Xenopus tropicalis: one gene and its partners. The protein of the gene in region 3 interacts with the protein of the main gene of each other region in a biochemical or structural test. Links are inferred from orthologs where the notes say so. Each region holds a gene or a part of one and is shown on either strand. Other genes may lie near its edges.

Evidence for each region.
Region 1: the proteins of crhr1.2 (region 3) and magi1 form a complex in vitro, tested with the Homo sapiens proteins (2 studies listed by BioGRID and IntAct, with this or other methods). The link is inferred for Xenopus tropicalis from reciprocal best matches to the Homo sapiens genes CRHR1 and MAGI1.
Region 2: the proteins of crhr1.2 (region 3) and mpdz form a complex in vitro, tested with the Homo sapiens proteins (2 studies listed by BioGRID and IntAct, with this or other methods). The link is inferred for Xenopus tropicalis from reciprocal best matches to the Homo sapiens genes CRHR1 and MPDZ.

Annotation. Positions count from the first base shown.
Region 1 is NC_030680.2:143,759,923-143,763,974, reverse strand, and holds the start of magi1 (membrane-associated guanylate kinase, WW and PDZ domain-containing protein 1), read right to left. Parts: upstream 2,801-4,052; 5' UTR 2,525-2,800; coding exon 2,227-2,524; intron 1-2,226. UniProt on the Homo sapiens protein: Plays a role in coupling actin fibers to cell junctions in endothelial cells, via its interaction with AMOTL2 and CDH5. May regulate acid-induced ASIC3 currents by modulating its expression at the cell surface.
Region 2 is NC_030677.2:124,798,009-124,801,508, reverse strand, and holds part of mpdz (multiple PDZ domain protein), read right to left. Parts: intron 2,589-3,500; coding exon 2,514-2,588; intron 1,520-2,513; coding exon 1,331-1,519; intron 1-1,330. UniProt on the Homo sapiens protein: Member of the NMDAR signaling complex that may play a role in control of AMPAR potentiation and synaptic plasticity in excitatory synapses. Promotes clustering of HT2RC at the cell surface.
Region 3 is NC_030686.2:16,307,405-16,311,696, forward strand, and holds the start of crhr1.2 (corticotropin-releasing factor receptor 1), read left to right. Parts: upstream 1-1,492; 5' UTR 1,493-1,614; intron 1,615-4,292.

The DNA of each region.
Region 1 (4,052 bases), on a different chromosome or scaffold from region 3:
TGTCACGGCTACTAAAATAGACAATGCTGAACATTTATTGATAACTGTTTCTACGTGTATTTTACCAGAGGCAATTCTCAGTATTGTCTATGGGAGTATATTTTCTGGAGTTTAGTAGCTGCGAAAAAGTAGCTGCTACTAGTAGCTCTGTGTGTCTTCACCCTAAAAGATTGGGGTTTTTCTCTTACCTCTTGCACTCTCATAACTAGCTTAAACCTCCAAAAGCAGCAGTGCCGTGAAGCAAAACAAACCTTTCAGATAAAGTATTTGATCCTCATTTATAACCCAGTCTGTATCTACTGTAGAATCTCTGCCATAAAGCAAAACAAAACTGCTGGTTTTTTTCCCAGGCAGGTTATGGAAACAATAGCCACGGAGAAACACGTCACTGTGCCAAAGTCACAAAAACTTTTTCTTTTGAATATTACATAATTCTGCGTATTGTTTCCAGGTATGTGCCGACACCTTTGAAGCCCTTTAGCATTTAATGAGGCCTTTCATACAGTCGGGCTAATGGTAAAGCCAGTGACTCCATTCTCACAGATCAGAAAGCCAAGGTGCGCTTAGTGTGTCACGTCTAGAACACAAATATTGACACAGGAATGTTTTCCACCACGCTAATGCGAGCACAATACGACCCAACATTTATATATAAGCAACGCGCGCAATAAACCGAATCACATGGGGCTGCTGGGCGAATGAATGCAGGCGTGAATGTGAATATGAACAATATCCAAATGCATTGATTGGCTTCAGAACACTAGTTCTCACTAAAATAACAGGAAAAAAGGTAATTTTATAAATAGCAGGTTTTACTGGAAATATCAGCAATGATAAATCTAAGGGAGATTCCCCAAACGCATTCCACTATATTCCAGCGGAACGACTTCTACGCTACATTATTCATAGAGTGCGCCGAGTGCCTTATTGCCCCCGAGGTGATACATTGTATCCGTGTGTATAAGCAAACACGAGGCTGTTACCAGGATCTAATACAAGGGTACAGGGTAGGAATGTTATTATCCAGTGGCCGGGGGGGCAAATTTAATTCCAATAGCCGACCGGCTAACTGGGCAGAACTTGATGATATACAGGACCTTATCAGCACACAGAGTGCCATGTTCTGCAAATAGTACTCCTGCCCACGGTCAGGGGGGGTTGGAATAGAATGGAAATATAACCTGATAATACCGATAGGGGGACGTCCAACTACAAATCCCATCAGCCACTGAGGCTTCAGGTGTTAGTGGGAGTTATGACAGCTGGAGGGCCACAGGGTCTGACTAGGGTCCCTGAACTCCTTCCTATGTAAACAAAATAGTGCGTGTGTATATCACCATGACAAACACGTACGATATATCTGGTCACGTGGCCGGCTGAAGGCAAGAGGGTGGCTAGTGGAAGAGAAAGTACAAGCACATTGATAGTGACTAGCTGACGGTCTCTAACGTAAACATGTTGTTGGCCAGCAGGCCGCCAGTTAATGAGTGAATGGCCAACTGATAAGGAGTTTGCGGCCTAAAGAAGATGGGTTAGTGGCCAGTTTGTCAAGTGATTATTTAACAACCAGGTGACCAGCTAACAGCTAGGCAGCAAGTAGCCAGGAGGCTATCACTAAGCTAGTAAGAGGCCACTTGATGACTAGTTGCCAGGACACAAATGACAAGCTCATGTAAACAATGTGTGATTAGGTAAGTAATGACTATGTAATAACAACTGCTAATTATATAGTGATAAATTAATACTTATTGACGTGACAAGCCAGATGGTCAGTTGCTGGCCAGCCAAGTAATAAGGTGACCAATGGAACAGCGAGTTAGCAGGTGGCTCTGGCCGATGAAAAGCGACCCAGGGACTAGTGTGCAGTTGGGGGATAGGTAGCCAGAAACTGGCAAAAGGCTAGGAGACCAATTGGTGGCTAGGAGACCAATTGGTGGCTAAGTGACCAGGCAATGGCCACATAGTGACCAGTCAATTGCCACATAGGGCGCAGGTTGCCAACTGAGCAGGTGAAAGAAGTAGCCCAACAGCTAAACAGGTAGCCCAACAGCTAAACACGTAGCCCAACAGCTAAACAGGTAGCCCAGTGACCAGCTAAACAGGTAGCCCAGTGACCAGCTAAACAGGTAGCCCAGTGACCAGCTAAACAGGTAGCCCAGTGACCAGCTAAACAGGTAGCCCAGTGACCAGCTAACCAGGTGACCCCTAGTGGCCCCTCCCCCTTACCTTGTCTGACAGCAGTGATGGGGACAGGCTGCTTGCTGTTCCGGACCAGTTCCAGTACATCGTATCGCGGTAATCCAGAGACGGGCACCCCGGCCACCTCCAGCAGTAACTCCCCCTCGGCCAGCTCGCCATCGCTGCACCTCAGCCCCTCAGCCGCCCCCCCCAGGTACAGGAACTCCCCATCCTCCGCGCCCCCCAGCACCGGCAGCCCCGGCTCCCCCGGCTCCCCCACACAGCTCACAGCGCAGCGGTGCACTCGGCTGCTCCAGTGGTTCTTCTTCTGAATGACTTTGGCCATGCTGAGCCCCCGGCAGCCCCCCGGCTGCACTCACACTGCCGCCCCCCGGTCACATTCAAGCCATCCCAAGGCAAACTTTGTATCCCGGCAGCCCCCGCCTTTATCCTCTCATACTGAGCCCACAAAGTTTCCCTCTGGCCGGGAAGGAGGCAGCCGGGAAGGGGGCAGCGCCGGCCGCTTCCTGCTCTCACTTCCTCACTCTCCGGGAGACACTGATACAAAGTATCCGCTCTCTTCCCATTCCATCCCGGGCAGGGCAGCCTCCGAGCCGAGCCGCGCCGCGCATGCGCAACACTCACCTTCCCTCCCCTCCAGCGCTCAGTAAGAATCCCAACCTGTGGCTCTGGCTGGGCAGGAACTGCAACTCCCAGGATCCCCTTACGGCCAGCTCTGGGCGGAGCAGGAAAGCTACTCATTATAGCGCACCTTAATCTATTTTGGGGGTTGGTAATTTCTTCTGATTGACAAAGAACAGCAAAGAGAAACCTTAACTCTGGGATATGCGGTCCCCAGCCTTCCAGCTACTGAACTACAACTCCCACTTCGGCTTTAAATAGAGCTCAGTCACAGATTATAATTTCCAGACATAGAGCAGCAGCTTGTTGTTTTCTTGTGATTTAAGTTGGACTGGGGCTGTGGGATAGCAGGTATAGTAGGGAGAGATGGTGCCTATAGTAGCAATGGGGGGATAATAGCCTCTGGGAAGGGACTGGGGCTGTGGGATAGCAGGTATAGTAGGGAGAGATGGTGCCTATAGTAGCAGTGGGATAATAGCCTCTGGGAAGGGACTGGGGCTGTGGGATAGCAGGTATAGTAGGGAGAGACGGTGCCTATAGTAGCAGTGGGGGGATAATAGCCTCTGGGAAGGGACTGGGGCTGTGGGATAGCAGGTATAGTAGGGAGAGATGGTGCCTAAAGTAGCAGTGGGGGGATAATAGCCTCTGGGAAGGGACTGGGGCTGTGGGATAGCAGGTATAGTAGGGAGAGATGGTGCCTATAGTAGCAGTGGGGGGATAATAGCCTCTGGGAAGGGACTGGGGCTGTGGGATAGCAGGTATAGTAGGGAGAGATGGTGCCTATAGTAGCAGTGGGGGGATAATAGCCTCTGGGAAGGGACTGGGGGCTGTGGGATAGCAGGTATAGTAGGGAGAGATGGTGCCTATAGTAGCAGTGGGGGGATAATAGCCTCTGGGAAGGGACTGGGGCTGTGGGATAGCAGGTATAGTAGGGAGAGATGGTGCCTATAGTAGCAGTGGGGGGATAATAGCCTCTGGGAAGGGACTGGGGCTGTGGGATAGCAGGTATAGTAGGGAGAGATGGTGCCTATAGTAGCAGTGGGGGGATAATAGCCTCTGGGAAGGGACTGGGGCTGTGGGATAGCAGGTATAGTAGGGAGAGATGGTGCCTATAGTAGCAGTGGGGGGATAATAGCCTCTGGGAAGGGACTGGGGGCTGTGGGATAGCAGGTATAGTAGGGAGAGATGGTGCCTATAGTAGCAGTGGGGGGATAATAGCCTCTGGGAAGGGA
Region 2 (3,500 bases), on a different chromosome or scaffold from region 3:
ATAAAGATTGTAAGAAATGCTTTTTATTAGTATTGGACAATTTTTGTCCGTTTATCTGTTCACATTTCCTTAATCTCACTATGAATATGAAATAACTTTTTACAACACGCTAGTTTTTATCACGTTATAACTTTGGGTGGGTAACTTATTTTTCCCTATTAATATGTAATAGCTAATGTGTATGAGCATTAAAGTTAATGGTGATATTTATCATCTTAATTTCTAGACATGACATGTGACTTTGTCATGTGTCTTGATAGATTGACTCATATGTGTTTTAAAATTATATTTCACTATGAGTTGTGCCATGTGGCTTATCGCATTGATATATATGGGATATGTCCTATTTTATGCACTATTATGAGTTTAGATGAGTATTGAAGTTAATGGTGATATTTATAAATTAAATTTTTAGTCATGACATGTGACTTTGTCATGTGTCTTGATAGATTGACTCATGTGTTTTAAAATTATATTTCACTATGAGTTGTGCCATGTGGCTTATCGCATTGATATATATGGGATATGTCCTATTTTATGCACTATTATGAGTTTAGATGAGTATTGAAGTTAATGGTGATATTTATAAATTCAATTTTTAGTCATGACATGTGACTTTGTCATGTGTCTTGATAGATTGACTTATATGTGTTTTAAAATTATATTTCACTATGAGCTTTGCCATGTGGCTTACTACATTGATATATATGGGATATGTCCTAGTTTATGTATTAATATGTCTAGATGTTTGATGATAATTTTATTTTTGATCATATGGGGATTTTTTAAGTGCCTGGTATTTGATTACACTTTGCACATGTTATTGAATGGGTTAATGTTGTATAAACACTGATTGGATACTGCGGGTTTTTAACCTGACACTTCACTTCCTGTCTATCATCCTGATGACGATCCTGTACATTTCAGAATATTCAAAGCACCAAGCACGATACCAGCAGGATACCAAAGCTTGAAAGAATCCAAAACTTTCGTATTCGGTGCAACAATACGAATTTGTCGCAAAATTTTATCGCAAAGTACGAAAAAGTCGTGACGGCGACTAAAAATTCGCGCAAGATACAAAAAAGTCGCAACAGTGACGAAATTGTCGCAAAAATAACGATCATTACGAAAAAGCGCATTTGGACGCATTCGGGGCGTTCGTGGATCGATAAATCTCCCCTATTGTTTTAGAGGATAAGGAAAAAAAATGTTGCTATTTTATGAAAGTGGACCTTTAACAAACAGCAGCAAGGAAAAAGGTAGCCATGCAACTCGACTTCAGGTATTAGATTGTATGTTACTAACACAGAGCATAGAAGATAAACACCTGATAATCTAAAATGCTGAATCCAAGACCAAGGCTTCCTTTTTCCAATAGGATATCCTGAATATCGGTTTCCCACATTGCAAGTGGAGATCCCTGTGCATCCTCGATACTTTGACCATCTTCAGTAGATGCTGTGTTTAAATCATCTGTTTCTGAAGAGCCAACGGTTCCACCAAAGTCAATATGCAGCTATAAAAAGAACAAAAACATTACACAATATTATAATACAAAAATCTTTGTAATGCAAATTACCTTCCTACTATCTGGATGTTTGGCTAGACGTCTACTTGGTTAAACGCTATTGTTACTTCACAGCCAAAGCTCACAATTCAAACCCAGAAAATGATTACAATGTGTTTGCCAGATTTGGCAATCTAACATTAAGAAGGTCCATATATTTCCCTTAGTAAAGGTCAGGAGGTTCCACCTACTATCATGATGATTTTATGCTATGTTGTTTCCCATTTCATGACAACCGCACATAGGAGTCATAACCACAATAAGGGTTATAGCATATAGGCAGTTTTTGGCCCATTTAAAAAAAAAAAAAAAAAAAGTATGCAATAATAATCCAGATGGTTATTATTCTAATAATAGAGTTGTTACTTTACTTATTTTTGAATTATTAGACCTTTTTACCCAGACTTAATAGATTATATTTGGATTTACAAAGCTAATAACTGAAAAATAGCAAAAATAACAAAATACTTAAATTGTCATTTAAAAAAAAAATCTGGTCAGTAAAAAAGTTATATAAAACAAGTATCTAAAGATAAAACCTGCATAAGGTTATGAAAAAAAAAAATTAGCAATTTTGCAAAGCAAACCATATCATTTTGATAATTGTACCATATATTTTGTAAAGTTAACAGCTTTTTCATTTTAATTAGCTTTCCATAAGAAATGATTTGCATCAGCTCTGAGGTTTCAAATATTCATATTCAGCAGCAGTTTATAAAGTCTACAATAACAGCCAATAAAATATGGTTAAAATAAATATAAAAATAGTATTATTAAGAAAAAAAGTTTATGAAAATAGCCACATTTTCATTCTCAAACTGTAATAAAGGCATTAATGTTGTATAGGTTTCCTTAATAGCTAATCATAGTACAGTACCATATTCAGGGCCCTTAGCTTTTTCTAAAACATTTTACATTTTAGGATACTTTAAAAATAGATTACCTTTGAATCAGTGTCCAGGCTCTGTGGAATATCCTCTTGCATTTTCCAGAGTGCAGGTAATGGTACAGGAAAATCCTGTTCACAAGGTTTGTATAAAATAGTAAAAAGGAATGTCTGAATTACATAAATGTAATCATACATACAAGGATATTTACCAGTCATTCTAATGCCTCAGATCATGGTTGGCAGTGATGAGGAAACACAGTTTATCCTACTTCTGTTTAGTTGTATGAACATGTTTCACTACTATTCCCAACTTGAAGGAATCTCTGGGCACATAAGTAACTAGCCCAGTGCTCCTCTTGCCACTTATAACCTACCCTAACCTTTCTCCTCCAATTTCATAAATTTAATACAGGTATAGGACCAGTTATCCGGAAACCCATTATCCAGAAAGTTCCGAATTACAGGAAGGCCATATCCCATATACTCAATTTTAAACAAATAATTCTTACTTTTAGAAATTATTTCCTTTTTCTCAGTAATAATATAACAGTACCTTGTACTTGATCCCAACTAAGGGTCCCCACACGGGCCGATTCTAGCTGCCGATATCGCCAAGTGAGCGAATCTTCACGTGTATCGGGACCTTTAGATATAATTAATCCTTATTGGATGCAAAACAATCCTATTGGGTGTATTTGTAATAAATTATTTTTTAGTAGGCTTAAGATATGGAGATCCAAATTACGGAAAGATTCCTTATCTGCAAGACCCCAGGTCCCGAGCATTCTGGATAACAGATCCGATATCTGTATTTAATGTTTATTGTCATTACAAAGAAGTGCCCCTACAGTTAATTGGATTCAGAGGATAATGACATTTTTTACCATTTAAATTTTACTTTGAAAATGCAAATAAGAATAAAAAAAAAACTGATACAAGTATATTCAAAACTCTCCAACTACTTGTCTAGAATTTTCAAATACCAGGAAATTACCAGTTTAAAAGCTTTACAAGACATGATCGAAAAACAGAAAGCAATAT
Region 3 (4,292 bases):
TAACTCCCTGTGACACACTACTCACTGTAACTCCCTGTGACACACTACTCACTGTAACCCCCTGTGACACACTACTCACTGTAACCCCCTGTGACACACTACTCACTGTAACTGCCTGTGACACACTACTCACTGTAACTCCCTGTGACACACTACTCACTGTAACCCCCTGTGACACACTACTCACTGTAACCCCCTGTGACACACTACTCACTGTAACTCCCTGTGACACACTACTCACTGTAACCCCCTGTGACACTCTACTCACTGTAACCCCCTGTGACACTCTACTCACTGTAACTCCCTGTGACACTCTACTCACTGTAACTCCCTATGACACGCTACTCACTGTAACTCCCCGTGACACGCTACTCACTGTAACTCCCCGTGACACGCTACTCACTGTAACTCCCCGTGGCACGCTACTCACTGTAACTCCCCGTGACACGCTACTCACTGTAACTCCCTGTGACACGCTACTCACTGTAACTCCCTGTGACACACTACTCACTGTAACTCCCTATGACACGCTACTCACTGTAACTCCCCGTGACGCGCTACTCACTGTAACTCCCTGTGACACGCTACTCACTGTAACTCCCCGTGACACGCTACTCACTGTAACTCCCTGTGACACGCTACTCACTGTAACTCCCCGTGACACACTACTCACTGTAACTCCCTGTGACACACTACTCACTGTAACTCCCTGTGACACACTACTCACTGTAACTCCCTGTGACACACTACTCACTGTAACTCCCTGTGACACACTACTCACTGTAACCCCCTGTGACACACTACTCACTGTAACCCCCTGTGACACACTACTCACTGTAACTCCCTGTGACACACTACTCACTGTAACCCCCTGTGACACACTACTCACTGTAACTCCCTGTGACACACTACTCACTGTAACCCCCTGTGACACACTACTCACTGTAACTCCCTGTGACACACTACTCACTGTAACCCCCTGTGACACACTACTCACTGTAACCCCCTGTGACACACTACTCACTGTAACCCCCTGTGACACACTACTCACTGTAACCCCCTGTGACACACTACTCACTGTAACTCCCTGTGACACACTACTCACTGTAACTCCCTGTGACACACTACTCACTGTAACTCCCTGTGACACACTACTCACTGTAACCCCCTGTGACACTCTACTCACTGTGACAGGGCTAGTGGTGACTAAAAAGTAACTTCTCTCACCTGTGTCTGTTCCTCCTCTCCCCCGATATCTCTGTGTATTTGGCCCTTTCCTTGTGCTGCGCAGCTAATCCTGATCCCGTAGAGCCCAAATCCAGCCCATACCTCTCCCCTGACTCCCTGCCCTTCTGACCCTGGCGCTATTACCAGGAAGGGAGCACTGAAACAGTAGTCACAAAATAGAAACAGCAGCTGTCCCAGCAATTCTTTTCTGTAACAGACCCCTCCCTTGCTCTTTTTTCATCTTTACTTCCCCCCATCATTTCATTCCCTTCCAGCGTTTCAGGGCTTGCGTTCCATCATACCCAGGCACCACACTGGTCCAGCTGCACAACCTGGCACTGATATCCAAGATGGCACCCATGGTCTCCCCGCCTCTGACACCCACAGGTAATGTAAATATGAACATACCCTCACACCAGCACTCACTCATTGCACCATACATACACTCACACCAGCACTCACTTATTGCACCATACATACACTCACACCAGCACTCACTTATTGCACCATACATACACTCACACAAGCACTCACTCATTGCACCATACATACACTCACACAAGCACTCACTCATTGCACCATACATACACTCACACCAGCACTCACTCATTGCACCATACATACACTCACACAAGCACTCACTCATTGCACCATACATACACTTACACCAGCACTCACTCATTGCACCATACATACCCTCACACAAGCACTCACTCATTGCACCATACATACACTCACACCTGCACTCACTCATTGCACCATACATACACTCACACAAGCACTCACTCATTGCACCATACATACACTCACACCTGCACTCACTCATTGCACCATACATACACTCACACCAGCACTCACTCATTGCACCATACATACACTTACACCAGCACACACACATTGCACCAAACATATACTCACACCAGCACTCACTAATTGCACCATACATACACTCACACAAGCACTCACTCATTGCACCATACATACACTTACACCAGCACTCACTAATTGCACCATACATACACTCACACCAGCACTCACTCATTGCACCATACATACACTCACACCAGCATTCACTCATTGCACCATACATACACTCACACCAGCACTCACTCATTGCACCATACATACACTCACACCAGCATTCACTCATTGCACCATACATACACTTACACCAGCACACACACATTGCACCAAACATATACTCACACCAGCACTCACTAATTGCACCATACATACACTCACACCAGCACTCACTCATTGCACCATACATACACTCACACCAGCACTCACTCATTGCACCATACATACACTCACACCAGCATTCACTCATTGCACCATACATACACTCACACCAGCACTCACTAATTGCACCATACATACACTCACACCAGCATTCACTCATTGCACCATACATACACTCACACCAGCACTCACTAATTGCACCATACATACACTCACACCAGCACTCACTCATTGCACCATACATACACTCACACCAGCACTCACTCATTGCACCATACATACAATCGCACCAGCACTCACTCATTGCACCATACATACCCTCACACAAGCACTCACTCATTGCACCATACATACACTCACACCAGCACTCACTCATTGCACCATACATACTCACACCTGCACTCACTCATTGCACCATACATACACTCACACCTGCACTCACTCATTGCACCATACATACACTCACACAAGCACTCACTCATTGCACCATACATACTCACACCTGCACTCACTCATTGCACCATACATACCCTCACACAAGCACTCACTCATTGCACCATACATACACTCACACCAGCACTCACTCATTGCACCATACATACACTCACACCAGCACTCACTCATTGCACCATACATACACTCACACCAGCACTCACTCGTTGCACCATACATACACTTACACCAGCACACACACATTGCACCAAACATATACTCACACCAGCACTCACTCATTGCACCATACATACACTCACACCAGCACTCACTCATTGCACCATACATACACTTACACCAGCACTCACTCATTGCACCATACATACCCTCACACCAGCACTCACTCATTGCACCATACATACACTCACACCAGCATTCACTCATTGCACCATACATACACTCACACCAGCACTCACTAATTGCACCATACATACACTCACACCAGCACTCACTCATTGCACCATACATACACTCACACCAGCACTCACTCATTGCACCATACATACAATCACACCAGCACTCACTCATTGCACCATACATACACTTACACCAGCACACACACATTGCACCAAACATATACTCACACCAGCACTCACTCATTGCACCATACATACACTCACACCAGCACTCACTCATTGCACCATACATACACTTACACCAGCACTCACTCATTGCACCATACATACCCTCAAACCAGCACTCACTCATTGCACCATACATACACTCACACCAGCATTCACTCATTGCACCATACATACACTCACACCAGCACTCACTCATTGCACCATACATACACTCACACCAGCACTCACTCATTGCACCATACATACACTCACACCAGCACTCACTCATTGCACCATACATACACTCACACCAGCACACACTCATTGCACCATACATACACTCACACTAGCACACACTCATTGCACCATACATACACTCACACCAGCACTCACTCATTGCACCTCACATACACTCACACCAGCACTCACTCATTGCACCATACATACACTCACACCAGCACTCACTCATTGCACCATACATACACTTACACCAGCACTCACTCATTGCACCTCACATACACTCACACCAGCACTCACTCATTGCACCATACATACACTTACACCAGCACACACTCATTGCACCTCACATACACTCACACCAGCACACACTCATTGCACCATACATACACTCACACCAGCACTCACTCATTGCAGCATACATACACTTACACCAGCACTCACTCATTGCACCATACATACACTTACACCAGCACTCACTCATTGCACCATACATACACTCACACCAGCACTCACTCATTGCACCATACA